4 linked regions of the Caenorhabditis elegans genome follow. The protein of the gene in region 2 interacts with the protein of the main gene of each other region in a pairwise test. Each region holds a gene or a part of one and is shown on either strand. Other genes may lie near its edges. The genes, in order: Y51H4A.8, nhr-2, Y43B11AR.3 and clec-258.

Region 1 (8,907 bases), on a different chromosome or scaffold from region 2:
TTGGTAGCGCTACATCTGTTTAAAGTGCCTAAAACGCTTGCAAAATTGACTTTTTTATGTTTAAGCAGTGCTAACTTTTAAACCATGAGAGATATACAAAAGTAATGTATTACAACATTAATGTACACATCATCAGCTACATTTTATCAGTATGTTACATTGTTGTCCCTCCTCACGTTTCTGAGTTACAGTTGATAGAAGTGAGCTTGGTCCAATTTTCAAAAAACCCTAATTTTCACGTTTTCGCCTGTAACTCCGAAATCAGGCGTCTAATTAAAAACTTCAAATTAAAAATTAAGTGATTTTAAATTATAATCGGGTTCACAGTTGACCGTTTTGTCATATCTCATATGTGGGCAAAGATATGAATTGTCAAAGAAAAGTTGCGGAAATTTTAGAAAATTTTCAAAAAAAAACATCGAAAAAAAATCCAACAGTTTTTTTTACAAGATAACCTCTAACTGTTTTTTGATTATGATAGCCTAATTAGTAATCAAAATATTAAATGTGTTTTTAAACGCTCATGTTCTTTTCGGAAAGAGTAAAACAGTTTTTTGCAATATTTTTCTATATTTTTTCGATCATGCATTTTTTGTTTGTTGACCGTTCATATCTTTGCCCACATATGATATGACAAAACGGTCAACTGTGTACCTGATTATAATTTAAAATCACTTTATTTTTAATTTGAAGTTTTTTAATCAGGCACCTGATTTCGGAGTTACAGGCGAAAACGTGAAAAATTAGGGTTTTTTGAAAATTGGACCAAGCTCATTTCTATCGACTGTAACTCAGAAACGTGAGGAGGGACAACAATGTAACATACTGATAAAATGTAGCTGATGATGTGTACATTAATGCTGTGATACATTACTTTTGTATATCTCTCATGGTTTAAAAGTTAGCACCGCTCAAACATGAAAAAGTCAATTTTGCAAGCGTTTTCGACACTTCCAACAGATGTAGCGCTACCAATAAGCTATGCCTGGTTCTGAAATGTTTTAGTTTTGTTTAACTAACTGTCTTATACCTCTACGCATACAAAGTTTTTGATTTCACAAAGAAATGAAAAAATTCGAAAAAAAATTTTTTTTTCGTCATCATAGTTCTGAGTTTTAAATAATCTGGAAGTTGACCGATATGGCTGATATTGTTGGGCTTGTTATTACTAACAGTCTTCTATACAACCGCAAAATATTATCCAAGAAAAAACCAAAACTAGAAAAAAACGAAAAAACTTATTGAACGACCTAATAATCAAATTTGGGCAAAATCTCTTAAGTTGGAGTAGTGACCGCACCGAACATTAACCTATTGCGTTAAATCGATTTATCAGTTATTTGAAATTGTTTTAAATAAAAAATATTTTTAAATCGTGTCCATTCAGATTATTTGCAGTTGCCTATATCAGCATAGTGACACAGTCAGAAATTTTTTGTGTTAACACAATGTAGCGAGAATGGTTGTAAGGCAAATATAATCATGATTTGTACTATGGAATACAACAATTCTACAGAAAAATTGTACTTATAAAAATTATGTTTCACAATATTTATATTGCGTCACTGATATTTTAGTTATTATTTCAGAACTTTTTCATGAGAAAGATCTTAAAATTTCAATGATATGATTCAAAACAATTAATTTAAAACATTAAATTCAAAAAAAGTAAAACTATTCAAAACTTTTTTTGAAAATGTTGTTTATTTTATTTCAAAAATGGCAACCATTCTGTTAGGCACTTATTTGGAAATCGTTGAAAAAAAAATGTTTTCCTCCGAATTTTATGTTTCAAACGGTAATATTCAATTATTTTAGGGATAGTTTTCTTTAAAAGTGGCAAAAACTTAATAATTGGCGCTTTTCGGAAAAAAAAAATTTTCTAAAATTTTTATTGTTTCAACATGCTTTTATTATACTCTTTGTAAATTGGGTTTTATTCATACGCTCAAATTGTATTTTGGTAATTAAAAAAATTGAAACGTAACCAGGAAATTAATATCTGCCAGAAGTAGTCAAATGTAAGCAAAACCTCTTAAGTTGGAATAGTGACTATGGTGGTTTTTACAGAAAACTGTCTTGTTATAGGAAAAAAATCTAATAGTAACACAATGGTTTAAAAGAAAGCATCTACATTTTTTTAAAGGTAAAACTTTTTGAAAAAAAATTGGATTTTTAAAAATTCACTGTAAAAAGTGACTATTACTCAAATTTTGCCACTCATAATTTTATAAGTCGATCAAAAAAAAACTTCCTACAATTTTTTTTGCCAAAACTTTGACTGGAAGTTGTAAAAAATTTGAGTTTTTTGGAGTGTTTTTTTAAATGATATCCCCACTGGCGCTACTCCTCCATCAATGACTTTAAAAATTGATAAGAAATCGAAAAATCTGAATTTCGAAATTTACCGTTTCACCGCGTGCGTATAAAACTTTTCATCACATTTTGATCTATTTCTGATAGTGATCCGCTTTCAAACGTGTAAAACAATTTAAAATTAAACCAGAAGCTTCCGATAAAAGTATAATCAATAATAGGCTCCACCTATTTTTGGATTTTCATTGTATTTAAAGTTTTCAAATCGAATCCAGGAACAAAATCTTCAAAATTTGCAACAAAAAAAAAATTCAGTTTCAGCCTTCAAACAAATTTTAGTAACGGCTGTTTGACAATTTTTCGATCTTTGGGTTTCAAATTTTTACGAGTTCCCTTTTACCCCCGCTTAGTATGCTTTACCTATTCTTACTGTTGGCACACCCACCCACAAGAAAAAGTGTTAACAATCAGTAATAAAATGATGCCATAACTATGACAAATATAAACATTTTTGGCAAATCGAAACAAACATAAGCTATTGTGGGGCAAAGGTTAAGGAAACGGTATAAAAAAGGATTGAGGTAAGGTTTAAACTTCACTTTTAACTTTTGTGATTTGAACCTTCAAAATGCTTAAAATTCTACTGCTCCTCTGCTTTTTCATCTCCACAGCCGGAGCCTGTGCTCCGGGTACCGGAACGCTGGGCTCCAAGGGAACATTCAGCTATGAAATGAACCCTCCTGCTCTATACACCTATGATTCTCTAGCAGAATTTGAAAACGGACAGTTTGATCAAGCCTATGCTCAGCGAGTTGTGGTGTCGGATGTGCAGAGTGCGGTGAGTTAAATGCAATTTTAAATAAAAATCCCAATACAGAAAAAATTTCTACTGTTTCACAAAATTTTTATGAACAGCTACAGTTTTCTTTGGAGTTCGTATAATTGCATTTATTAAAAGTCCAATTATTAAATGTCCAACTATGGTGGTGGATAATTTTGCCAAATTTATAAAAGAATGTGAAATGGCAACACATCGCATAATGTTTAACGGTTGCATTATTATTTGAAAAAAATTTGAAATTCTCAGAAGCTTTATAAATTCTAGTCTAGTTTTGATGAAAAGCCATATATTTTCTTAATTTCCATCAAGCCAGCCTATTCAATAAAAAGCGATTCATAAAAAGTTTAATGAAATACTTTTGAAACATTAAAAATTTTATTGAAATTTTCTTTTTTTTTTCGAAAAGTGCCAATTACTACGTTTTTGCCACTTTTAAAGAAAAGTATAGCATATTCCAATCTCTACAATAATTGAAAAAAAACCCATAAGTGGGCCATAAAATTCGGAGGCAATTTTTTTTTTGACGAAAACAATAATAATAACTTTTTAGGCACCGTAGAGTTGAAACACTCCCTAGTAAGATAACAGTGAGCTAATAAGAATATTATAAAACATACTTTTTTACAAATAAAATTTTTACGTTTTATTGAAAATTTATTTTGTAGAAACATGTTATATTCTATAGTACAAATGCATGATTATATTACAATCTTTCTATTTTCATTGTGTTAACACAAAAAATTCTCACTGTTTCACTATACTGATATAGCCAATTGCAAATAATCGAAATAATTCTGTTCTCTCCTAGAAACTGATAAATCACTCAAAAGCGACATACTAGGTGCGCGGTCAATGAGTTAAAAAATTTATTTAAAAGCCTGTAGATTTAATTCGGAATATTTTCCAAAAAGTATTCGCTGCGAGCAGGATTTGAACCTACGCGGGCAATGCCCATTGGATTTCAAGTCCAACTCCTTAACCGCTCGGACATCGCAGCCCGGTTTCGGAGAGCTGGTTGGGGTGTTTTCGTTACCGCAAATGGCTGTGTTGTTCGCACATTTTGAGCGGAGAAATGACTGAAAAAAGTATGCTGAAAGAGAAGAGCCTAGAGATGTGTCTACCTACCACTAAATCTATTTTGTTATCACTTTTGAATTATTTTTTTTAGAGATAACAATCTGAAACATTAATTTTTGAAATAAACCACAAAGTATCAGGTTGTCCCATAAGTTTTTGTACTTTTTTTCAAATATTTTTCCAAAACTTCTAGAAAGTTTTAAAATTTTTTCATCGTAGGTCGTGTCAAGGTCGGGTCGTCCCCTTCCAGAAAAGATTCATTTCATCCATTTCTACTTTGCCACGATGACAATCATCAAACTTGAACGTCGAGACGTTAGATTGCTTCTTCTTTATGAATTTCGTCTTGGTCATTCAGCAATGAAAGCGGAACGAAACATATGCGGTGCGATGGGTGAGGGAGCACTCTCTTATAATACAGCAAAGAGTTGGTTTCAAAAGTTCAAGAACGGCGACTTCAGTCTCGAAGAAATAGAACGTTCTGGGCGACCGGTAGAGTTAAATGAAGAAGACCTAGTGAAGCTGGTGGAGGAAGAGCCTCGTCTTAGTCTTCGTGAAATGGAAGAGAAGCTTGAGTGTTGTCATAGCACAATTGCACGTCACTTGGGTCGCCTTGGTTTTACTTCAAAACTTGGAATTTGGGTGCCTCATGAACTTTCGGCATCACAGAAGCTCACTCGGGTCAACGTTTGTACTCAACTTCTAACTTTTCGTCGAAAGTTCGATTGGCTGAACAATCTGGTTACTGGAGATGAGAAGTGGGTGCTCTATGTTAACCATTCCAGAAAACGTCAATGGCTTCCGATCGGTGAGAAAGGAATACCGACGCCAAAGCCTGATCTTCACCCAAAAAAGATAATGATCTGTGTCTGGTGGGGTGTTCAAGGACCCGTGCACTGGGAATTGTTGCCAACTAATAAAACTATCACTGCTGATTACTATTGTGCCCAATTGGACCGAGTTGCAGAAAAGACCAACGGAAAATATGAAAAACTATATTTTCTTCACGATAATGCTATGCCTCATGTCGCCAAGAAGACTTTCCAAAAGCTGCAAGATCTTGGTTGGACTGTTTTACCGCATCCACCATATTCTCCAGATCTTGCACCAACCGACTACCATTTGTTCTTGTCTCTCAGTGACTACATGCGCGACAAGCAATTCGACGACGAAGAGCATCTCAAAACTGAACTCTCCACTTTCTTCTCATCGCGTTCGCCGGATTTCTTCTCCCGTGGCATCATGATGTTACCTAGTAAATGGCAACAAGTGGTGGACACTAATGGTGAATACTTGTGTGAATAGTACTACTTGTCGCTTGAGAGAAATAAATTTTTTTCAAAAAAAAAAATAGTACAAAAACTTATGGGACAACCTGATATTTATACCCATTATCAATAAAAAAAAACTGTTTCAAATATTTCATTTTTCAGGTTGTATAAAATTAATTCGTTTGTCGATCTTTTGAATTCTTTTTTAAAGATAAATAAGTCTGAAACATTAAGTTTCAAAATAAGCCACAAAGTATTTATACCCATTATCAAAAAAAAACTGTTTCAAATATTTCATTTACCAGATTATATTTCGGAGAGCTTGCTAAAATTTGTCCATACGAACCAAAAAAAATTATCTGCTCAAAACTTGTATAATAATGGAACCAAGTAGAGCGCTAAAACACTAAAAACACTATACAATACCAAAAAAGTTTAAAAATTCAAAAAATTCAGATCAACGACGTATTGCAAGCCAACAGTATCCCCCTAAACGACATAAACCCACCAGTCATCACATTCTCGCCTCCAAACGTCACACTTACTACAGTAACCGAGTGCACCGCCGACACCGCGGGTTACGGTGTTCTACAACAATCCACAGTCTACTATAAGTGTGCAGCGAAGGCTGGAACCGATGGAAAATACGCGAAAAGTCCGTTTGTTGTCCCTTTGACCGTTCAAGTGACCGCGATTTCTGCAATTTATGAGAGCCAGTGGAAGATGTTGGCTTCTCAGATGGCGGACAAGTTGACGACGAAGAGAGGAGCACAGTTTTATACAGATCCTATTGTTACTGTTGGTTAATTGGTTTTTTTTCTTTTTGTGGATTTGAAATAAAATTATATTAACAGCGAGAATTTTTTACATGTATTGAAGTTTGAACATGGGATTTGATCTGGCCGTACAGAATAGAATACGGAAAAAGTTGAAAATACTTTAACGTTATTTGAAACAGGGAAACATAAAGTTTTTATGGGCGTTGAAAGCGAAAAATTAAAAGTTGATCTGATTTTGAGAATTCAAATTTTTGACTGTTTCATTAACATCACTTAAGATGTGCATTATTTTGATTCAGTATTGAATGATATGCCAGATCACTGCAACTTTTTTCGAACGAGGGCCGAGAAAAAATGCGAAAAATCGGTGTTTGCACACAATACACCGCATTTTACGACATTTTGTACTTGCTTTGTTTTCTTGTGTTTTTCACCGATTTTTCCCGTGTTTTCTTATTAAAACTGATAAATAAATATTTTTGTTAATGCTAAAATAATTTCCAGATGAAAAAAATTGTGAATTCAGTCGGCAAGTAGCGGTAAAAGTGGTCAATGTAATATGATGGATTACGGGAATAAAAAACCCAAACTTTTTCCCAAACATGATACATATGATGTTTAGATGCTGAAAGTACCTGATTATCATAACGAGACCGCTGAAAAAGTTTTGAGATTTTCAAAATTCAACTTTTTTTGTGAAAATCTCTACACCAAAAAAGTTGAATTTTGAAAACCTCAAAACTTTTTCAGCGGTCTCGTTATGAAAATCAGGTACTTTTAGCATCTAAACAGCATATGTATCATGTTTGGGAAAAAGTTTGGGTTTTTTATTCCCGTAATCCATCATATTACATTGACCATTTTTACCGCTACTTGCCGACTGAATTCACAATTTTTTCACTTGAAAATTGGTTTAGCATCTGCAAAAAATATTTATTTATTAGTTTTGATAAGAAAAAACGGGAAAAATCGGTGAAAAACGAAAGAAAACACGCAGAAAACAAAGCAAGATAAATGGCCGCTGAAATTTGTCAGGGACTCGGCCATAGCCTAGAAACCTTTTTGCCTCGTCCCTCGTTCGAAAAAAGTTGCAGTGCAGATTTCATATTTATAAAAATAAGAGCGGATGTGTTTGGCAATGGTCTGTAATGTAATCTGTAATGTTAGACAATATGGTTTAACAGGAATTTATTTTTGAGAAAAAATAGGTATTGCGTCTTATATGCACGCAAGTTTTCAAAAGATTATTTTGTTTATTTTTTTGTCTGGGAAGTTATAACTTTACAGTAAGATAATACATGAATTCCAACCACATTTTTGCAAATATGCTTAGTTCCGGAAACACGACATTTATTTTTTAAAAATATAAGGAAAATTCAATCACTAATTTTTTATCTTCTCAAGATTTAGCCAAAATAAACTTTACTGTTGCATTATCAACATTTTAAGAGTTTCACGATGTTAGTTCATTTTTCTCATCATTGGAAAGGTAAAAACATTAGTTTTCAGCCAAAAAAAACAAAAAATATATTCAGGCCTTGGCTGAACGTGGCTTAAAAATTTAGATTTTAATCTAAAAAAAACATCTGGATTCCGTCCCAGAATATATAATTAAAGGTTAAATCGATTTAATTGTTTATGAAAATAAGAGCTGCTATGTTCTGTAATGGAGCGAAATATGGTTTTACAGGGATTTATTAGCTGAAAATATATAAGGAGCACGTCATTAATTAATAAATGCCAACCCCATTTTTGCAAATATGCATAGTTCCGGAAACATGTCATTTATTTTTTTCAAAAATATAAGGAAAATTCAATCACTAATGTTTTATCTTCTCAAGATTTAGCCAGTGATTCGCAGTTGATCATTTATAAAAATTTTTTTACTGTTTCATTATCAACATTTTAAGAATTTCACGATCAGTTCCATTGCTTCCGTTCCATTGCTAGTTTTGATTTTTAATTAAAAAAATTTCGATCACGCTTTGCAAAGAGAAAAACATTACTTTTTAGAAACAAGAACATCAAAAAAATTCAGACCCTGGTCTAAAAATTTAGATTGTAACCTAAAAAAACATCTGGATTCCGTCCCAGAATATAGAATTAGAGGTTAAATCGATTTAATATTTATGAAAATTAGAGCGGCTATGTTCTATAATGGAACAAAATATGGTTTTACAGGTATTTATTTACTTGCTGAAAATAATAAGGAGCAAGGTATTAATTTTTCTTTAAATATCTGAAAAATCTGATCCCATTTTCACTAATGTTTCACCACCCCGATAAAGAATTTGACATTAATTCGCAATTGATGTATTCCTTATACTTAGCGAACCCTGAAGTTTTGAAAACATTCTTAATTTATTTCCAAAATATTGCAGAGTTTACAGTTTTTGGATGAAGCCGTTCGTAGAGAGGTTAACTTTAAAATCAGTAATTTTTCACAATTCACAAATAATTTTTTCTGATATATGTCGGATTTTTTTTTGAAAAATCGGAAAAAAAAATTAAAATAACGAGTTGAGGACAGATTACACAAGTTTATAAAACTTTTATATAGGAGAGGACCTATCACACAAAAATATACTACAATTATTAAATCGAGATAGTGAAACAGTCAAAT
Region 2 (7,935 bases):
CTTTCTCTGAGCCAGAATCATATTCATCGTCAGGTTCACTTCCAGAACCTTCTGATGAGTCTTTGTCATTCTTCTGCTTCTTCATATCCTTATCCAAATCATAATCCTCATCAGTACTTTCATCATCGCTGTCATCATCTTGTTCACGACCCTCTGCTTTCACAGTTGACTTGTATGGATCGATATCATCTTCATCGCTGCTTCCATAACCAGCTGATTTGTTATCGATACGATGAGAATTGCGAATTTTGATCTCTTTCTTGTTTAGATAGTCGAATAGTTTGTTGTTCTCTTCTTTATCCATTGCACTGAAAGTCAACGATGATCCAGTTTTCAGATCAATCTCAAAATCAAAAGTTCTTGTTACAGTTCCGCTATCAGAACGTGCGAAATGACATGAGCTAATCTCTTCAAAGCGAATGTACATGACCGGCTTTTGAATAAACAAAAATCCCTTTTCCATTGGGTACAACAATCCAAGGTTCTGACGATGTGTACATTGTATGGCAGGAGTGCCCGAACTTCCGAGGAATCGTCCAGGAACGGTGACTTTCAGATTGCAAATTGATTTGAAGAGAATTGAGATTGTCTCATAGATTGGTCCAGTCATTTCACGTTGAAGATTTCCATTGAAATAGTCGAGTTGTTCACTGAAATACTCTCAAATTATTGGACGGCAATATAAAATATATTTGAGTGGCACGGAATTGTTCCCAGAAAATTCTGAAATAAACTCACTCAGTCAACGACAACTCCAAATCTTCTTCTTCATCCTTCCCAAACTCGAAAATGAGATAACTGTAGTGTGTCTGTCCCTGGCGAATGGGTGGGTTCAACGACAACACAAAATATACTTGGCGTCCATCTTTATGAGGAACCAAGAATAGACGATTGATCGTTTTGACAGGAATCTTGTAATCGTACGTCTTTCCGTGGAGTGCAATACTTGTCGGATAAACTTTAATATCATATCTTCCACGAGGTGTTGTGCACAGAATATCAGTGAGAAGGCATATTGGTTGCTCAGTTTCAGCCTCCAATCCAGCATATGCCAGCACTGCTTTCTTGAATTCTTCTACTTTATCAGTATCCTCCTCATTTTCTAGATCAACTGGCATATGGAATCTCATCTCCATCAGCTGAACTTTGCTTTGTTCATTCTGATGGAACTCCAAAATAGCCTCATTTTTGTTGGCAATGACGTTTGACACATTCGTGCACGGAATTTCGAAAATCGGTTCATTTTCCCATGAAAATTCAATATTTTTGCCTTTGACATCGGCCTGCCCATAGTTCCATCCATTGATGAAAAGATTTGATTGATTGATAGATTTAGACCAGTTAGAAGAAGTGAACGATTGGATTTTCTGAAGATCCTGAAATTTCGAATTTGAATAAAATGAGACTACAAACGTATAAAAATAAAGAAAACGAACAACAAACTAACATCATCCAAGAATCCTCCGAAGCGGTGAGCACCTCCATCACTAAGACCAACGCGTAGTCCCGGCTTGTTGCCAAGCTTTTGCCATTTCAGTTTATCGACGTCGGTTCCTGTGATGTAAACTGATTTTCCACCCTTATCGCCTATGAAGTTAATCGAATTTTCAGTCAATGTAAGCGTTCCGCATGTTAAATGGCCTATATCCTCCACGTAAACTCCCTTGAATTTGAGCTCAGTCATTCTGAAACTTGTCAGTCAATAACGCGTGTAAAGAAAAGAAGCGAAAAACGTCCGCGAACAAGAAAAGTCCGGAAAAGAATGAAAAAAATGAATTCTCGAAAAATGCACTCTAATTTTTTCGCGCGTCGAACCGAAAACAAAGAACTACGGTAGTCGATCATACGTGAACACCGAAGTATACTGTATACGCAAGCACCGCATCTGACGACCGTTTCTATTAATTTTATTATTTTTTTAATAATTGACTAATTTTGACAAATAAATTGACAAATTACTATTACGACAAATTACGACAAATAACGGTAAAAGTTGTGGCACGTCAAATTTTTTCCTGCATACAAAATAGTTAAATTATCAAATAATATTTATTTCATCTTTTCAACAACCAAGAAGCAGTACCAAATATATTAAGTTTTTAACAAACTTCAAATAATATAATTTTTGGTACTGTAACAGCCTAACAAACAACATCAATTGGAAATTCAAAAAGAAACAGTATATAGCCCGAACGAGAGAGTGAGATAGAGAATTAAATTCACACCTGGAGGAAGAGATCAGTAAGAAATGATCAGACTTTGAGAACATGAATAGAAAATGATAGTAACGGGGGAAGGGGACTTTAAACAAGTATTTTGAATCTATATTGATTCATAAGACAGGAATAAAGTTTTGTGAGAATTCAGAACCGGTTGGAAGCGTGTCCAGACACCGAATCGGTTCTGAATTTATCAGAAGTAATATATTTGTTATTGATTGAGATACGGTCCCAATCTCATGAGCAATCGATCGCAGAGTCCTATCTCTTGTAGATGTGTTTGAGACAGTTGATGGCGTAATCCTTGACAATAACTCGTAAAAATCTGAAAAAGGTTAACTTTCTTGGCGCAATATTTACTTTCTTGAGTGTTATGGTAGGGATTAATTGTGTCATTTGGGAATATTCCGACAATTTTGGCATTATGCCAAACAATTACTTACCTCAGCGACACCTCCATTGACTATTTGAAGTATATGAATTCCAGAGAGAAGTGCAACTTCACAATCATTGAATACTGTATTACGAATGCCGCCACGAAGCAAATTTACTGGATTCTCACAGGAATAGAAAGTGATTGGATCAAATGTGAAAGCCGCACGAATAGCCAAGATACCACTCATCACTTTTTGAATACTCATTTCAAGTGCTTTTTCATCTTTTGGCAAAAGTGAGCTCAAAGCTGGAACTGATTCAATAAATTTCTTAATTGCTCCAATAGCATGAGTTCCCGATGTTAAGTGAGTAGAGCATGGCATGTTTGCAACAAAGGCGGCCGTAAGCTCTTTCACTTGTGATGTCATCTCAAAATTGGGCGAAGCCACTGATGGTTTAACATCTTTATCAGTTTCTTTGTTCACTCGAACGTTGTCACGATTCATTCCAACTGCGAGGCATTTGGCAAATCGACAAGCTTGACAACGAGTACGTACTCCACGATTTGCCGCACAATTTTCATATGAGAACTGAAAAATATAATAGCATATTTTTGAAATGCTTGTCTAATTAAACTCACTGTGCAATTTTCTCCTTTGGTACAAACATATGCGATATTCTTGTGAACACTTCTTCTGAAAAATCCCTTGCATCCTTCACAACTCTGTACTCCATAATGATATCCAGTAGAGTTATCACCACAAACCATACATCTATCCTTTTTAAAGAACTCACTCCAAGCATTCATTGTGAGATTATAGTTTGAAAAGTCTGGAGCAAACTGTGGCATTTGTGGAACTACTGTCATTGGTGTGTTAGTACGGTCATATGGAGTACCACGTGGCTTTTTTGTTGAAGCAGATGACGCTGGGAATGTGTTACGACGAACAGAACTGTTCTCTTTATCATCGGCTTCATTTCCGTTGTCTGGAGAACTTTGAGTCGAAGAAAGAATATTATTAATTGCATATGGTGAGATTTCTTCTTTTTCTGGTTTTGCTTGTTGAAGTGGAGTCAATTGCATTTGTGGCTGATTATGGTAGTTTGGAGTGGTTGCGCTGAAAAATTGAATTTAACGTTTTTACTATAGAAAGGATAAAGTAATCTTCCAGTCATCGTTGCCTTATTTATTAATTTAGTAACTCGCTGAAACGTAGAATTCCCTCGGCATACTGTACAACCGTGTTCTCAAATTCCGCTAAATCTGACTCTATTGTTCTCACCTAATCTCTTTGTACAACATCTTAAAATATTTTTTGTTGCATCTAACCGCTCTTTGTTCTAATTAGGTGTGAATTGGTAAAAATTACATCAACTTGAAATCACTAACTGAATTTTCAAATCCCACTTCCAACCTTGCCAGTTGAAAGAGATTCCCGTTTAGATGTCTTGAATCCTGCCAATAGGATTCAATATGATTCATCATTAGGAGGTAACATCTGCCACGTCATCAATACAGTCCCCCATCTGCCCCCTCTTCTGACCTGTCACTCTCTTACCCAGTTGCCACGTCACAAGGTGACCTGTTTCTACGTATTGCGTGAAACAAATTGGACCATAAAGTAGAGACCGCCCAAACACTCAAACATTGCGCAACTCTTCTTTTTACCGCGCAGAAGAAATACATACCTGTTCTGTGAAGTGAGTGGTGGAGAGATTGTGTCATTTCCCGAATCTCTGTCCGAAATCTGGCTCAGCGGTGATGTGGCATTTGGAGTGACTGTATTTTTAGATTGTGGTGGCATGTAGGTTGAGTTTGTTGCTGTTCCTGGAACCATTTGCTGCATTTGCATTTGCATACACAGAAGCATTTCTGGGGTCCATCTGAAAGTGAGAATTGGTGTTTTGTAATAATTCGAATGCACGAAAAGTTATGACTGGATACAGAAATATAAAAACTTACTGTGCCGGATTCTGTAAATATGACTGTTGATATGCATTTATCATTGGATAGCCTGGCATCATATGTGGTTGATTTGGATAATGCATCAATTCTGGATTCATTGGAACCATCTGAAAACTAGAAAAGAAATAGAGATAGAAAAATAATAAGAGTTAATAAATTGAAAAAAAGAGTATACTATGAAATAGTGTACAATTCAACAGACTGACAGAACGCGCGAAAATGTTGGTCAACGAACGCTCGAATTGGTTGCATAATGACCATCTGACCTTGCACACACTGTTCTCGCGCACTCTTGCTCGTTCTGCCTGCAACGACGGTGTGCTGCTCCGCCCCTGGTGGTCTATGGGAATAAGAAGGTGACAGTGAAGAGATGGAAAGTGGGTGTGATGACATCTCTTCCAAATATTCGCAGTGTGGTGTTGTAATATATTTGTGCGTTCGGATAAAACTAACAGATATTGTTGAGAAATTGGGTATGGTTCTCAGTTGGCATATGAGTTGCAGAATAAGAGTCTATCAAGTTTCAGTGAGAAAAAGTGTCGAAGAAATAGTAGAGCTCTTGAACATTAATTTTCAGGAAATTTCCCTCTCTCGAAGCCAAACAACTACGGACCCAGCGGTAACACAAGTAGCCTATAATGTTCTCATACGCTGTAAAATAATATTTAAATTCAGCTACAGCACTGTAGCTACAGTACACCTACAGTCCCTAATCCAAAAACATTTCGTCATTGTAGCTGGAATATATCGACCAAAAAGTATTGCTGTAAGTGAAAATAGTTGTACATCTCTTCCGGAAAGTGAAATTTAAAGGTTTTCTGAAAGACACACACAGTCAGAATAGAAATTTGATAGATTATATCTAGATTATGTTTGTGATTAAATCAGTACATGGCTGAAATCTAAGCAATAGTGTGACGTCATAATTTTTCAAAACATTAATTAGCCGCCAAGTTTGGTTCTTTGTAGGTCAATTCTTTTGCTGGAACTCTATGCTCATAACCCTCTTTTGGGGTAACATTTCATTTCTGTAACCCCTATCTATAGAGAGGCTATGTGTCAGAGAATACTATAATAGTACAGTAATATAGAGGTTAATGAAGGATCTTTAATCCATCCCCAATTTAGCACAGATGGTCGAATACATTCTGACAGAAGGGAAAGGTCAAACTATAAATATCGATTTATTCTGAAAATAGACAACGATTGGGGTTATCTAATCTTGATTCTTTTCAGAAGGGATCATCAACGGCCGAGCTGTCAATTTTAATTTAGCTAATGAGAAAACATTTAGTGACGAGAATCATTGCTGGAAATATTCTAGAATTCAGTATTCAAAACCGTTTCTAAACTTAAGTAAGTAATTCGAAAATTTCGCAAAATATATGTATTGTTTGATATTTTTTTGAAATTTTAAGACTTTTCAACAAAAAAAAACATTTAAATTTGTTAACAACAATTTTTCCAACTAAGAATTGGAAATAGTGTATGAAAATTTCAAAAATAAATTGAAAATACCAAACAATTCCGAATTTTCCGAACCATGTAGTTTTCCAAGAAACCCATTTGGAGGTAATTTTTGGTTTTATAAGATTTTAGATAGACAGTGAAGAATACTGCGATATTTCAAAACTGCGTAATCTACTCCAGTTATCTCGAGAGCCCATTTGTTTTCCTCCAATAAACTATCATTCTGTGTTACGTCAGTCGGCAACATTGTGTGTGTGCAGGCAGATTGACCTGATTATGTAACGTTTGTGCAACAGAATATTTGGTCATAAACTGTCACAGATTGGGCCTCCGTTTAGGTGAATTAGAATCTGCTCAATTGGATCGAGTGGAATGCACATTGTGTTGAACGGCGGTTCTGGACAAAGACCTTGTATTTTGGGAATCCATCAATAAGAGTGTGCCAGAAACTGTCTGAGGTCCTATTGTTTGTCAGGTGAAAGTGGCAGTATAGTCTTCTACAAAAAAAAGAATGTTAAAATTCATCAATGCAATAATTAAAATTAATCGAATCTACACAGTAAACGCATTTAGACCCTATCATATTGGCTATGAAACAAAAAGTGACATAGAAGAAAAAAAGCTGAGAAAATTGAGAAAAGAAGAATATTAGACATTGTTCAAAGTCTACTTGTATTCGGCAAGGAATTTTTGGTGGAAATCAGTGAACCGGGAGAGCATGTCTTTGAAGAGTTCTGGCTGTGGAAGAATTGTCGTTCTGAAAAAATTGAATTTACCAACAATGAATCTAGATTTATTGTATTAAATGTGAATTAGAGTATCACAAACCTGAAATGATAAGTTCCGTCTTTTTGTCCAAATCCACTTCCTGGCACGATACAGATTCCGGTGGTCTCAAGAAGTTGCATAGCATAGAAGAAATCAGGTTGTTGGTTCAAAGACTGAGCTTTTTCAACAGCTCTCTGTGGAATCGTGATTTGCGGGAAAGCGTACATGGCTCCTTGAACTGGATTACAGCTGATTCCATCAATGCTACTGTATGCCTTCTCGACGAGTGTAGCACGTTCCTTAAGAGAAGCAAGTACTGCATCCTTTTCTTGTTTCCACAGAGCATACGATGCATCTCCTTCCTTTGGTGGATTCACAACGGCATCAATGACGGCTTGTCCGAGTACTGTGGAGCACAATTTGGCAGAGATCATTTTTTTGAAAAGGACATACACTTCTGGGTCGAGATTCAAGAATTCAACATATCCTCCACGCATTCCGCATTCTCCCATGTATCCTTTGGATACCGAATGGAAAGAAGCCAATTCCATTCTGCAAATTAATATTATGAGTTTTTTAACTGCTTAGGAAAAAAAGCTCACTTATTGTATGGCTCTCCCATCTCCACAAGAACCTTCTTGAATGAATGGAATTGCGATCCTTGAGCGTAGACGTTGTCCTGAAGATGATATTTTAAATCTCATTATTTTAATAGAAAAGTGTGATTTTCCTCATTAAAAAATATGGTTTATGATTTAAAATAATTTTAATTGAAAATAGTGGAAAATTATCGAGTGTAAATTTTTATCGAAAACTTACTTGATAAACCTCATCAGCCATAAGGAACAGGTTCTTCTTTTGTGCAAACTTGATGATAGTCTCAATATTTTCACGAGAAAGTGCTTGTCCGGTAGGATTTCCTGGATTGATGATACACAAAACTCGAATATCGTATTCTTTGCAGTGATCATTGAAAGATCTTTCAAGTTCAGCTTCATCCATGGACCAATTAGACGATTCACTCAAATAGTATCCAACTTGTCCAAGTCCGAATTCTTCGATAGTGGCAGAATAGAGTGGATATTGTGGAATTGGAATCATGACTCCGACTTTCTTTGCGTTGTTATGATTGATAAA
Region 3 (6,921 bases), on a different chromosome or scaffold from region 2:
ATTAACGGATACAATAATAATTTTTTTTGATTCTACAAAAGATATAATAAGTCTGTATTCATAGATCTAGGCGTCGAAGAAGAGAATAAGATAAATAGGCATACAGCGATAACTAGGCACGCCTGCCTGCCTACTTTCTCATTCACCTTCAAATAAGAAATCATTTAATTTTTACAAAAGAAAGTAGGACAGAGTGTGGACACAAGGCAGGCGTAGCTTGCCTAAACGGTAAACAGGCAGGCTTTTTTTGCCTACTAGGAAAGCTTGGTTTTCACTGAATTAAATTTGTCAAATTTAAAAGTAACAAACTCTTTAATACTCATATTCCATTCTCTCATAGTTACAGATGTCAACAGATGTTCCATCTTTCAATTACTTCTTTATTCATAATATTCTGCAACAATTCTGTTGAATACCTAATTTTTTCTTCTCCATTCGGGAATGGGAAAGAAAGAAAGACGGGACAAATGAGAATAGAATATCAAATTGAAAAGATGGATTATTGAGAAGAGAAAATGAGAATAAGAACATGCATTCTTCATTCATCCAACGAATCCCTTTCTGGAATATTCTTTCAAGATTTTCAGTGTTTTTAAAAAATATTCTGTCTGGTTTTAAGAGTTTAATATCATAGTTAAATAAAAAATAGCAAACATTTCCGATTGAGGCAAAAAGATAGATATTATTTTTGGAAATTATCACAATTTGGTGTTATCGGACAATTTAAAAACTAACTTTCTTCAAAACTATGTTGATAACTACTATTTACCGTAAGAACTTGAATTCCTGAATTATATAGACATCAGCTGATTCATGCTTCGTGTTGTTTGTCGAAAAATGTTTCAGAAATAGATTTCTGAAACCCCATTTTCCATATTACTTTGATGCTTTATAAACATACCGTAACCTTACCAATTGACACCCATAAAAATGTGTTTCAACGTCTATGTGAACTTTTTGCTATTTTACATTCTTCTTCCTAAGACCATTTTTTTAGCCTGTTCGTGTATTTTTTCTTTTCAGAATTCTCAATTAGATTTCTACTCGCTTTTCCTGCTCTTCTATATGTTTTCTGCGCGCGCGTTTGAAGAGAGGAGCACAAAAAATAACCAAAATACGTGTTCACACATGTGTTCAGTTGGAAGACGAGGGGGGTGGAGCAACAAGAAATACACATCTTTCTGGGATTTTTAGTTTTTCATTCGTGCTTCATCAGAATGCAGAAGCTGGTAGGTAGACGACAGCTTTAGTACTAGAACTTTGGATTTCATTCGAAAACAAATTATGTACCTTTTCGAGAATTTGATCCTTACTCGGTTTTGATTCTTGATTTCAAGCAAAGAAGTAATCCTATTTTGGAAAACCGTCCCAGTTTTCTGCAACTGTTTGCCAGCTTTCTGTGGCAGATTAGGCCACTCTCTACATTGTATATCACCGAGTTTTGCGAAAATCGGATCGATTCGCTTTTGAGCATTACTAGATATCAAGGTAATGAAAATGTGTTTCTAAGCTTCTAGGCTCTAGAAAAAGCTTTCTAGAAATACTCAATTGGTATGCATTGTATGATTTAGGTCATCCGTGTGCATAAATTTTAGTTTGAAGCCAAATCAATTCTGAACCACGAATGTTTTAATGTTATTAAGACTTAAAAAATGGCATCTAGAATTGATGTTGTATTAAGTTGTATTATTTTGGTTCATTCGACAAATAATGTTATTTGAAATCAGTTGACTAATCTGAATGATCAATAAACATATAGTCTTGAAACAAGTTCTTGCATGGAGGTCTTATTGTTCTCGGTTTCCACGTGTGTTTATTTATTCGACTTTGGTTTTCTTCATTCATCAGATTTTCCCGTTTTTCGACGAATTTCTATCTTATGACAAACTATCCATATAAATATATGAAATCATGCTAGAAAGTTTGTTCAACTCAATACAATATTCTATGTTCTTGTGTTTTTACTTTTTTCATCTCAAAAAATCTTCATTCTTTATCAAATGAATAGCGGTATTCTTCAATAGGAATTTTGATTAAAGCTATTGTCAAAAAATTCAATAGCCTCTGATTTTCCTCGAGTTGTTTATGAGAAAATGAGTCATTTTCTGATATTTCTGGGTAGAACCAACACTTTCTCTCAAAACATTTCGGGTTATTTAAGTTATATTTTTCGCTATATCTTTTATGCATGGGTCTCGCCACGTTTAAAGTAACTCGCTGACAGCGTGGCGAGACCCATCCGCGCAATATAGCGAAAATTCTCATAAGTTTGATGTCTACGTAATAGCTTATTTTCAGCTGTAAACATCCCTCTAGACTAGAAATAATTTCCGTATTATCCCATTCACAATATTGGTAACCTATATCCAGTTACAAGCGAACGTCTGAAGCAAACGTATTCGTTCTGAAAACATAACTTAAAGCCCCATAATTTTCTAGTGAATCCCGCAGCGATCTGAAGTTGCCAGTACCAAATTTTATGAAGTAAAGAGTATTTCGATAATAAATGTTCTATAAATTCCCAATTGGACATGATTTCTCTCGAAACCAGAAGTTTTCGAAAAGATCAATATTCTACATCAACTCAACTCATCACAGTAATCCTCCAATTCTCTCACTTTTTGTGTGTATGTATGATCGGTACTGTCCATACGAAGAGAGGAGGAATCAACGATAAAACGTTCACGATTCATTTCGATTCGAATATATCTATAAAATTGCGATGGTTTTGCACAACCACCCCCGGTTCCTCCTCGTCGTTTTTTGTATTTCTTTCTTTCATTCGTTCTTCTCAATTTTACTGGTCGGTTTTGTTGTCGTCAAAAAGGAAAAACTTATTTCCATATTTCGTATCTTTCCGTGGGAAAATTTACAGTACATAAATATGAACATTTATGTCATCTGCAGACACAATTTCCACGAGTTTTCAGTTCTTCTTCTTCTTACTCTCAATTCTTCCTCTACTTTGAACATAGTTTCTAGATTTATTTTGTTTCAATTTTCAGCCTTCAATTTCTCTCCAATATCAAGATGAAATTTGGCACATCATTCCTTCTCGTTGCCACCATCTCAATGATCTTCGCAGTAGTAAAAGGTAAACAATTAATAAGTATTATATTCATCATTCTATTTAATATTTTCAGCTGAGGATGCTGCTCCTGCTGTCGTAGAAGCATCACCAGCTCCAGTTGAACCTGCTGTGACTGGTGCAGTTGCTGGAGGAGATGGAAATAAAGAAGCTGGAGAAGAAATTACCGGAAAATCTGCTGGAGGATCTGCTGTCGATGTGAGTTCTGCTGGAAAAACGGAGGCAGATTTGTAGTACTGTTTTAAAAAGAATCTAATATGTAGTCTGAAACATTTTCGAATCTTATTGAGCTAGTTTGCAAAACTGTTTTAATTAATAATATTCCAGGTATCTACTGTTGTCCCAGTCCATTCATCAGATATTCCTGCTTCATCTCCAACTATCGAAACAACTACAAAAAGCTCAACAACTTTCTCAGCTCAACTTCTCGCCGTCGCCGTCCTTGTCCTACATGCTGTTAGATATTGAATGATAACTTAATTTATATTTAATTATTTTATCGTTCCCTCTCTCTCTCCCACCCCTCTGTTATCATAAAAAATCATAAGTTCGTCACATCCATACTTTTCTCTAAATTTAACTCAAACTATATGCATATACATCATGTTCTACTACTTTCCGTATCTAACCTATTTTTTCAGTTTATTTTTAATAATAAATTCGAGAATAGAATTAAGAATTAATAATTTCTCGGCCATGCTGGTCTCATTGCATCGTAATCATCCAGTTTTGTGGATTCTTTCAATCCGAAACCATCGAAAATCTCCCGATTTTTTGTTGAATCTTCCGGCTCAACGCTTTCTGATACAATCTTCTTGTTAACTGATTCGGAAGTGATGATTTTTCTGAAAAACAAATTAATTAATGTGTGCTATTTATGGTATTTCTATTATTTTGACATACCGATTCAGAATTATATTTCTAGCAATGTTCTGTAGATTAATTTGTTTTTCTAACAGTGCATTGTCACTTCCAAATGGTCCAAAATTCTGTCTCTGAAGTCGAATTGTCGTAGACTCGGTACCAAGGTTTGAACCAATGTGCTCAATCAATTGTCTGAACATAACATTTCAAAAACGGGATTTTAAAAACGGGAAACCTGAGCATTTCATCGTCTTCGCCAGAGCATTGAGTTGTCACAGAGAATTTTGGTGATCGGAACCAATTCAAATCAATCGAATAAACTATTTGTGAACCGGGTAGCTGAGCCCGTGGAACTCCTCGACGAGCTAATTCAAATGCTTCTGAACTCTTAAATAACTTTTTTTATATATTTATACAAGAATCTCGAATAATCACCTCCATATCTACATTGGCATGACGAAATGAGGCACTACGAAATTCAGATTCCAAGCGTGACAAAACTTTCTCAATTCGATGCTTTGAAATTTTCGAAACGTCTATATTTTCCGACTTTTTTATAATTCCATCGATTCGATACACATTTGTCCATGACTTTGACATGAGTTCTGGAATACTTTCACAACCATCATTGACACCGAACACTGAAAATATCAATTTGTTTTGAAAATTATTAATTCTACCTTACAGCAGACTCCAGAACTATTTGTGGCCAACGGTAGTACGTCTACCAATTGAATGTCCTCTTGTCTGATTGATCTGCCAGACACAAGTGGATGATATCTGAAAATAACAGAACATTCTTCTCGTTTTTATGCAGATCTTGTGAATAACCAAATTTTTGGCTAAAATATGTTAAATTTTCCAAAATCAAGTTATTGCTCTAACTTTGATATATTTTAAATTACGACTACCTGTAATCAGCCACTTCATTCCGGCCGACGACTACTAGAGCGCCTGACTTTTCATGAGCTTCGATGACTGGGATGGAGATCAGAGGAAGTTGAATTCGAGAAGTAGATTCAATATCAGAGACAGATTCGGCGATCTTACGAGTAATCAGCTTGATCAACCCAGCGGAGGAAATTCCCGAGTGCTTATAAACACAGAGAACACCGGACAAAGACTTCCAAATATCAAGATGACCCATATCCAAAAATGCAAACTTTAAGACTAGTCTCATATCTCAAAGCGATAGGTTTGCTAAAACAATTTCCCTTTTGAAGATTAAGTCGTTTTTTAGATTAACAATTTTATTTTTCAACAAAAACAACAGTTTAGTGCTTCTGGGCCATACGCTTGTCACGCTCTTCGGCGATTGAGAGACGGATTCCAGCTCCAGTTGGGAGGGAGACGAGAGCCTTGTTTCCCTTTCCAATGACGAAGACGTTGGAGATACTGAAAAGAAAAATTTGAATTAGCAACCAACCTTAGCCGGACTTTTACGACCCTCGCGGCCCCCGACCTTCATTCTCCTTTAGCCTTTTAGGCAAACTTACCGAGTGGCGAAGGAGTGTCCAGCAGAATCCTTGATGTGGATGATGTCAGATGCTCCTGGGAGACGCTCACGATGTCCGATAATTCCGACACGACCAACGTTACGTCCTCCAGTGACGTAGGCCAAATTTCCTGGCTCGAACTTGACGGAGTCGGTGATCTTCTGGGTGCTGATGTTGAAAACAATGGTGTCGTTAACCTTGACATGTGGGTCTGGGTAGCGGATGGTGCGTCCGTCAGTGGTGGTGAGGACTGGAACTCCCTTGTTGACGGTGCGGACAGACTTGACCTTGCAGAGCTTGAAGTCGGCCTCGGCAGCTTGGATTCTGTGGACGACGTATCTTCCCTTGGTATCGTAGAGCATACGGAAATACTCGTTGGTACGCTCGATGGCAACGACATCTGAAAACGCGAATACAAAACTAGAAAGAATACAAATTATAATTACCCATGAATCCGGTTGGGAACTTGTGGCAGGTTCTGACCTTTCCGTCGACGCGGACAACTCTCTGGGTGAGAATCTTCTTGGCCTCGGTGTAGTTGAGAGCGTACTTCAGACGGTTACGGAGGAACAAGCTGAGTGGAAGGGACTCGCGGAGCTTGTGTGGTCCTGGGTTTGGACGAACAGCGAAGACTCCTCCGAGTTTGTCGAGCATCCAATGGCTTGGAGCAGCGAGACGCTTAAGATGCTTCTTTGGTCCTCTCATTTTTCAAGTGTGTACCTCAAGCTGGAATTTTGAACTTTAAAATGAGAAATCACGAAAATGTAATGATAAAAATAGTGAGAGTAAGCATAAAATGGAACAGATTAACTACATAGCACAACTATCGCTCAAAAATGATATTTAACATCGTTATTTCATTAAAATATGAAAAAATTAAAAAATTTTGCGTTGAGAACAGGAGAAATAGGAAAAATCTCTCTAAAAATTTCCTTGCGTCTGGCCTAAAATCAATTTCGCTGCGAGACCTGGCAGCTGTACAACTGGCTGTCCCTTGGACGCAAGAAAGCGTGCCCTGTCGCACTCTCTGTCGTGAACTCCTCTCCAACGAACAATTTTATTTATGCTGCGACACGATTTCGATGAATTTTGTTTCGTTATCAGTACATTCAATGAAAAATTTTAATAAATTAAACTATAAAAAATTATTTTTAATATGCTGAAAATGTTATTTCTATTTTTCTTGATCCTATCGAAGAAGTTCGTGTATATTCAGATTTTGTGTTCCATTTTCGTAGTTTAAGACCAAAATCAAGAAATTTTTTAGTGGTTTAAATGTTTTTATTCACAAAAAATCGATATTGTTCAATATTTCAAGGAGAAACAAAGGCGACTAAAAAAAAGAAATTGAAAAATAAAAATTACATTCTACACAAATTCGATAATTTTTCTTTTGAAAAACATTAAACGACCATTTACTGATAAAACTACTGGAAAGAAAAAATTGGAAATATGGGGAGTTTTTAAGAATAA
Region 4 (6,578 bases), on a different chromosome or scaffold from region 2:
GACTACAAAGACTACAAACTCCGGATAGACGAACTGCATTTTTTTTAATATATAGGTAATGATATTAATTCATTCATTACAGAAACAAAGCAGTTAAAAAATAACCGAAAAACTTTATTCTTTTATCGTGGAAGTTTCCCACAAACATATGTGTCAAGCGACTGATCGCAGAACACATCGTCCATATTCCCATTGTAAAGACTGAATTGAGGAGTGACAACGCCAGCATCGGATGTTGCATGTACAAGCAACGTTAGGCACCATTGCCTTCTGCAGTTATGTAATATTTGAATTTTGACTGAAGGTATAACTCACAAGCTCATCAAATCAGGCTGATTGACACCATAAGTAAAACCAGCTGTCCCATTTGTAAGACCATCATCCCACTCATAAGTGTCAGCGGGGGGTACAGATACCAGGTCGGTAACATTTCGCTTTTCTTATTCCACCGATCCAGGTGATGGTATTTGCACCGGGAGATTTTTGGTTGATAAGGGTTCTTAATAGGTCTGAAATAGAGAAAAGTGTGAAAAATTATAACAAGATGAATATTTCTTACGAACGGTTTGTGTAACTTCATTAGCAGTTTGGAAGCCTGTTAGGTTGGCTCCATGTTTTTGGCACGCGGCTTGTGCAGTGATGTGGTTCGTGTTCCCGTAGAATGGCTTAAAGACACTTTTTAAAATGGTTTATAAAGCGATTTTGCACATGGATCTTGAAATTCCCGCCAAAACCCTTTTCTCACAAAACATGTGGTGCCAAAGGGTCCCATTTTGGTATGACCTTCGAAAATTGCGGGAGAAGAGACGCAGACTTTTCAACTGATTTCGCATGGTTAAGAGTAGGGCTCCCATGAGATTGCCGCGCCGGCGTGAGGCGCGGACCTCCGAACGTGTCGGCCGCTTCCAAACAAACACCACTTCGCACTACGTTGCGCACACACAGCGGCGCGCGGCATCAGCGTGAGGTCGGCGTGAGGCTCGCATTTTGCGCCTCAGTCATCTCGGAGCCCTAGTTAAGAGTGTGCTGACGTCACACTTTTCTGGGAGAAAAATTCCCGCATTTTTTGTAGATCAAACCACAATGAGACTCCCTGACACCACGTGAAAAAATTTGAATGCTTTTTCCTAAAATCTCACCTTAATACACCATCTCCCATGTGGTCTATCAAAGGCCGTCCATCCACTTTCACAAGATTTTGGTCCAGATGGTCGGGGTGTCCTATGTCCACGACCACGATGACTGTGACCTTCATCCGAATCAGAGGATCCAGAAAAAGAATGAGCAAAGACCGAGGATATACCAAAAGCGATGAGAAAAAGCTTCATAGCTGGAAAAAGGAACTGCTATCAGTTTTTGAAATATACAACGCTCCAAAATGAAAACTGAAAACTATAACCTGTTTCACTTCCTTTTCCTGAATTTATATCGCTCCCTCCGCATTTTTATTGCTCATTTTTAATGGTTCCATCAAAAGTTATCGTCAAAAAAACTTGGATTTTAAAATTTTCAAAGAACATTACCGGAATCGGTATTTGCCATGAATACTGCCACTTATCATAATTAGTTTGAAAAAATTTCTTTTGTTTTTTCCCTCTTTTCAAGGAACTTTTTGTAAATATACCATTTTTTTTCTTTTTTTAACGATTTTCGTGTTTTTTCCCTATTTTTGAATGCTGGAATTTTCTGGAATTTCTTTTTTCTCTTCCGCCCAGCCTGATCGTAGGCATTAGTCCAAGCTTTACCCTAAGCCTGGGCCTAAGCCTGAGCCTGAGCCCAAAACTAAGACTAAGCCTAAGTTTGAAGTCTAAGCCTGAGCCTAAGCCTACGCCTAAGCCTGAACCTGAGCCTAAGCCTAAACCCTAGCATAAGCCTAAGCCTATGCCTGTGGCTATGCCTAAGGCTTAGGTCAAACCTAAGCCTAAGCCTAGTCTAGTAAGGTTGTAAAAAATCGATTTTTGTAATTTCTTGGCGCAATCACTATTTTTTTTTAATTTAAACTGTTTATAGTTACACCTGGATTTCCCAAAAGCAAAAAAAATCGATATTGAAAAAAAATTCCGACAATTAAAAATATGTTTCATTAGGCTCAATTCTTCATTGCTGCCAGCCGTCTTGCTTGAGGTTGTCGGGTTACTGTAGCAGGTACTGTAGATGGCCTATAACTGCACACAAAGTTATGTACCTCATCATCTCCCAGTGTATTCCACTTTGTATTAGTGATGTTTTCAGAAAAGTAGTTTTGTGCAACGTTACTTCCAAAGTTGGTATAGGAAACTGAAAGACCGGTATCCCAGGACAAGGTTTTAGAAATAGGATCCCGATTGAGCCCTATCCAGAAGTGTTTGAAACCTTCACCAAATATTGAACCGGCGTAGACTAAAAAAAATTAGGTACTTATAAAAAAACCTTAAATTATAATAGATAAAACTATTAAAACTCACCGGCCAAAAAATTACTCGTTTCCTGATCAGGGACATATGCTAGCCATGAAGGCCCAGCTGGGTTATGATGATGACACCAATCACGAGCATCTTCATATTTCATCAGAGAAGTCACAAATTTATAGCATATTCCTTTGATTTCCCTGGTTTGGCCATCAATGTCAGGACAATCGGTTAGTGATGATGGAATAAGTATTGCCAAGAAAAGAAGTTTCGGGAACATTTGGAAATGTGGTGTTTAGGTTACTTTTTGCGTGTAAAACCTTTATATATGTATGTTAATTGTTATCAGTATTAAACTATGTTCATTTTATGTAGAATGACTTTGAAACCGATAATGCATCAAATTATCAATTATCAGCAAGTGCGTCTTTATCGAAAGGTTAAATAGCGTATTTTGTAGTAAGAATTTGAAAAAATGTAGGAAAAATAGATTCGAAAAGCAACAGAAATAAAATGTAATTGGAGCAATTGCATAGTTTCAAAAATGTTTGCAAAAGGACAGCCGGCGAGAACATGATACCTATATATAGGCCAATATATATATAACAATATGGAACCTATTTACATAACACATATTTATCTAATTCTCACATACCTAATGCCTATACACCTAGTGCCTACACATTTATGCACCTAATACCTATAAACCTAATGCATATATACCTAATACATATATCCCTAATCACTATATACGTAATGCATATATACCATACCTAATAATTATATACCTAATACCAATATGCCTAATACGTATATCCCTAATAACTGTATACCTAATTCCGACACATCTATGTACCTAATACATATATACCTAATGCCTATATCCATAATAACTATATACATAATACATATTTACCTAAAGCCTATACATATAATGCATATGGCTATATACAAAATAACTACCTGATTACATAATAACTATATCCCTAATACTATATCCCTAATAACTATATACGTAATGCATATATCCCTATGAACTATATTCCTAATACATATATATCTAATAACTATACCAATACATATATACCTAATACCTGTATACCTGTATACAAAGGTCATCCGGCAAGCACATTATTATCATTTAACTTGTTGGTACAAAAAAAAATCAATAACTCTTTATTCACCCGCATTCATTTCGGAACTTTTCCACACAAGTACGTATTATGTGCCATCCTGCAATCCACATCATCCAAGTTCCCATTGAAAAAGTGCCATTGAGCAGAAGTGAGGCCCCAGTCGACTTGGCCATGTACATGTTGGGTCAGACAGAATTGTACTCTATAAGCGCATTAAATTTGGAATTGGAATGTACACGTGGTGTCCGAGTATCTCATTTTGATTTGTTGGTTTGATCTCCGAGAAATGCGGGAGAAGAGACGGGGAAAAATTCCCGCATTTTTTGTAGATCAACCGCAACAAGACAGCCGGACACCACGTTGAAATCCTAGTTACCCGCTATGAATATCAGGCTGATTAACGGCAAAAGTGAAGCCAGCGGTGCCATTTGTATGGCCATCTGTCCATTGATAACTGTTAGCCGGGGTACAAGACTGAACAGTTGGGCAACTGGCTTTTCTGATCCCACCGACCCAGGCTATTGTGTTAGCGCCGGGGGATAGGGCTCTGAGGAGGTCTGGAAACTGAGAATTTTCTGGAATAACTGCGGATTTTAAGGCTTTACGTGTAGCTCGCATTGATTAATCGGCAGTTTGAAATCCAGAAAGCTTGGCTCCCTGAGCTTGGCAGGCGGCTTCTGTGGCGTCATGGTTGTTGTTCCCGTAGAATGCCTGAAGGTATAGGATATAGGTACAATAGGCATTGAGCCTTACCTTAACACACCATCTCCCTTGTGGTCTATCGAGACACTTGAAACTAGGGCTGGCCATCCGGACTAATCCGGACGAAACCGGACGTCCGAATCCGGACTTCCGGACAACGGACGTCCGGTTTTCCGGAGAAGGAGATCCGGAAACCCCTTTTCAAAATTAGGCCACGCCCACATGGAGACCCGTGGGTGGCAAATGATGCTGGAAAATTTTTTTCGGCAGGGGACTTATGTGAACCTATATCCCGACATTTTCTGGGTTCCGCCGCTCACTATAAAAACGCGCACACTAGTGTGGGCACTTTCACAGTGAGGCGCGGAACCCAGAAAATGTCGGGATATACGTTCACATAAGTCCCCCTGACTGGAAAACTTGCCAGCATCCATGTGGGCGTGGCCCAATTTTGAAAAGGAGTTCCCGGGTCTCCTTATCCGGAAAGCGGACATCCAGAAGTTCTGGGCACCGCTCTTCCCAAATCCGGACGTTCGAAAAAACCGGACGTCCGGTTGGCCAGCCCTACTTGAAACAGCAGAAATTTGAAAATTTAACTCCAAAAAATGTAGGTTCTTAAAATGACATTATAAAAAACTGGAATTTCTTGATTAAACAAGTGTGACGTCATTATTTTCAGGAGCCCGCAATTATTGGTCAAATATTTTTTCTCTGCGTTTCACAATTTTTTCACTAATCAATTAGTGAAGATCAAGTAATCACCAACACCAGAAATGTACCTTATTTTGCTGATTTTAACAGAAAACTCAAATAGAAGCTCCTGGAATATTTCTTTGAATGTTTGAAAACTAACTGCTGACCATCCTCCAACTGGAAAAATTCAAAAAATTAATTTTATGATCGGTTTTTGGGTCTACTTGGGGGTTGGGGGTTTTAAGAAGTTTGTTGAAAATGTTTTGAGGTCACAGTCTTGATGTCGCCCACTACAACATCCAATCCTGCCCAAGCTTTGTTAACTGACATAAATAGTGGAAAAGTTTTATTCACTTTTTGTCATCCATATTACAATTACATTTTTTCAATGCAGATACAAATTTCAAGGTATGTAGGCTATGCAATGTATCAGATGGATATTTAAACTTTTCGGCGAAACCTGCTAGATGTCAGAACAAAACTAAAAAAAATTACATTACAAAATTGATTTTAAATCGTGTTCTTTGCAACACCTGTTGTAGCATCTTCCACTTTCTGAAAACAAGAGATTTTAATTCAGAAATTCCAAAAATTAAATTTACCGGTGCCAAAGTGTTTCGGAACACAATTTTCAAGAATTCCCTGCGGATAGTGCTATTTAAAGAGACATATATAATAGCAGGACTTGCATGATTACATGTCCAACATATTTGTCCAAATGCAAGAATCCATTCAGCAGGGGTTACAATTGCTAGCGCGTTGTAGACCAAAGCAGTTCCGGTATTGAAGAAGCAAATTATGGAGCATTGAATGAAAATCTGAAAGATTTTCTTATTTGGATTGATAAGTTAATGTGATAGAAGATTCAAAAACAAAATAACTACTGTTCCAACTTTTTGATTTTAAACTTGACACTTAGTTATTACTGTCCTCTCAGACATATCGTGTTCAATTGCAAACAAAAAAGACATTTTAAAATTAAAATTAAAAAAAAATAAATATTAAAAGCACAGCATGTTGGTCTCAAATATACAACTATCTTGAAACTCCTATATATTTTTCCAATTTTTTTCAAAGACTAGAATTTAAAAAAATACTGGTAGCGTGGAGAACAGAAAAATAATCTATCGGGAACTGGTAAAATGTCTGACTCACTGATCTGGAAGCCTTTGATTTCTGTCCCTTCGCCATCCGTTTTACCATTATAAAATACACAGAAAATAAAATGAACATGCATGCCACAAAAATCCAATTGTTCCACGGTAGAATGGTGTGTTTGTACTGAAACGTTTTTTAATCTCTGAGGACTGTTTTCTTATTAATTCTGAAATAGTAATTGAAGTTAGACATTGGTTTAATAAAAAGTTGAAACTGCAAAAAAATATTCCAAATAAGTTACCATTGCAGCTGCCTCTTTACTGGGTACTTCCTCAGATAATGGATCAGGAATCCATGCCATAAATACAGAATTATACGCAGTTGTGGGTGTAAACCAACAAATGTAGAATCCATAGAAAAGTACAAAACTGATTGAAGTATAGGCGAGTTTCTTCTCGATTACATCTGCATACTTCCTGAAGCCAATACTGATGATCCGATTGGAAAATAGAGACGTGGTGGCGGCACATGCCATACACCAGGTACCTGAAAAACTTATAAG

What was found.
Region 1: the proteins of nhr-2 (region 2) and Y51H4A.8 interact in a two-hybrid assay, tested with the Caenorhabditis elegans proteins (one large-scale study listed by BioGRID).
Region 3: the proteins of nhr-2 (region 2) and Y43B11AR.3 interact in a two-hybrid assay, tested with the Caenorhabditis elegans proteins (one large-scale study listed by BioGRID).
Region 4: the proteins of nhr-2 (region 2) and clec-258 interact in a two-hybrid assay, tested with the Caenorhabditis elegans proteins (one large-scale study listed by BioGRID).

The regions. Positions count from the first base shown.
Region 1 is NC_003282.8:16,572,553-16,581,459, reverse strand, and holds Y51H4A.8 (DUF4136 domain-containing protein), read left to right. Parts: upstream 1-2,910; 5' UTR 2,911-2,944; coding exon 2,945-3,154; intron 3,155-3,250; exon of another isoform or gene 3,251-3,271; intron 3,272-3,457; exon of another isoform or gene 3,458-3,479; intron 3,480-3,702; exon of another isoform or gene 3,703-3,726; intron 3,727-3,949; exon of another isoform or gene 3,950-3,971; intron 3,972-4,072; exon of another isoform or gene 4,073-4,154; intron 4,155-5,687; exon of another isoform or gene 5,688-5,708; intron 5,709-5,831; exon of another isoform or gene 5,832-5,852; intron 5,853-5,961; coding exon 5,962-6,312; 3' UTR 6,313-6,366; downstream 6,367-8,907.
Region 2 is NC_003279.8:5,816,442-5,824,376, forward strand, and holds nhr-2 (Nuclear hormone receptor family member nhr-2), read right to left. Parts: upstream 4,694-7,935; 5' UTR 4,668-4,693; coding exon 4,558-4,667; intron 4,479-4,557; coding exon 4,284-4,478; intron 3,713-4,283; coding exon 3,235-3,712; intron 3,185-3,234; coding exon 2,663-3,184; intron 2,545-2,662; coding exon 2,431-2,544; 3' UTR 2,033-2,430; downstream 1-2,032. Other genes in the region: hmg-3 (FACT complex subunit ssrp1-B), read right to left, coding at 1-650, 739-1,376, 1,448-1,684; C32F10.8 (alanine transaminase), read right to left, coding at 6,697-6,787, 6,859-7,350, 7,401-7,477, 7,618-7,935. UniProt on the Caenorhabditis elegans protein: Orphan nuclear receptor.
Region 3 is NC_003282.8:7,078,509-7,085,429, forward strand, and holds Y43B11AR.3 (TruB_N domain-containing protein), read right to left. Parts: upstream 5,209-6,921; 5' UTR 5,100-5,208; coding exon 4,864-5,099; intron 4,733-4,863; coding exon 4,638-4,732; intron 4,594-4,637; coding exon 4,388-4,593; intron 4,340-4,387; coding exon 4,188-4,339; intron 4,145-4,187; coding exon 3,992-4,144; intron 3,934-3,991; coding exon 3,768-3,933; 3' UTR 3,709-3,767; downstream 1-3,708. Other genes in the region: nssp-41 (MS Related Protein), read left to right, coding at 3,031-3,094, 3,144-3,286, 3,416-3,556; rps-4 (Small ribosomal subunit protein eS4), read right to left, coding at 5,227-5,347, 5,449-5,848, 5,895-6,153.
Region 4 is NC_003283.11:19,784,793-19,791,370, reverse strand, and holds clec-258 (C-type lectin domain-containing protein), read right to left. Parts: upstream 2,932-6,578; 5' UTR 2,668-2,931; coding exon 2,445-2,667; intron 2,380-2,444; coding exon 2,090-2,379; 3' UTR 1,986-2,089; downstream 1-1,985. Other genes in the region: srt-45 (Serpentine Receptor, class T), read right to left, coding at 5,429-5,473, 5,521-5,736, 6,074-6,199, 6,318-6,562.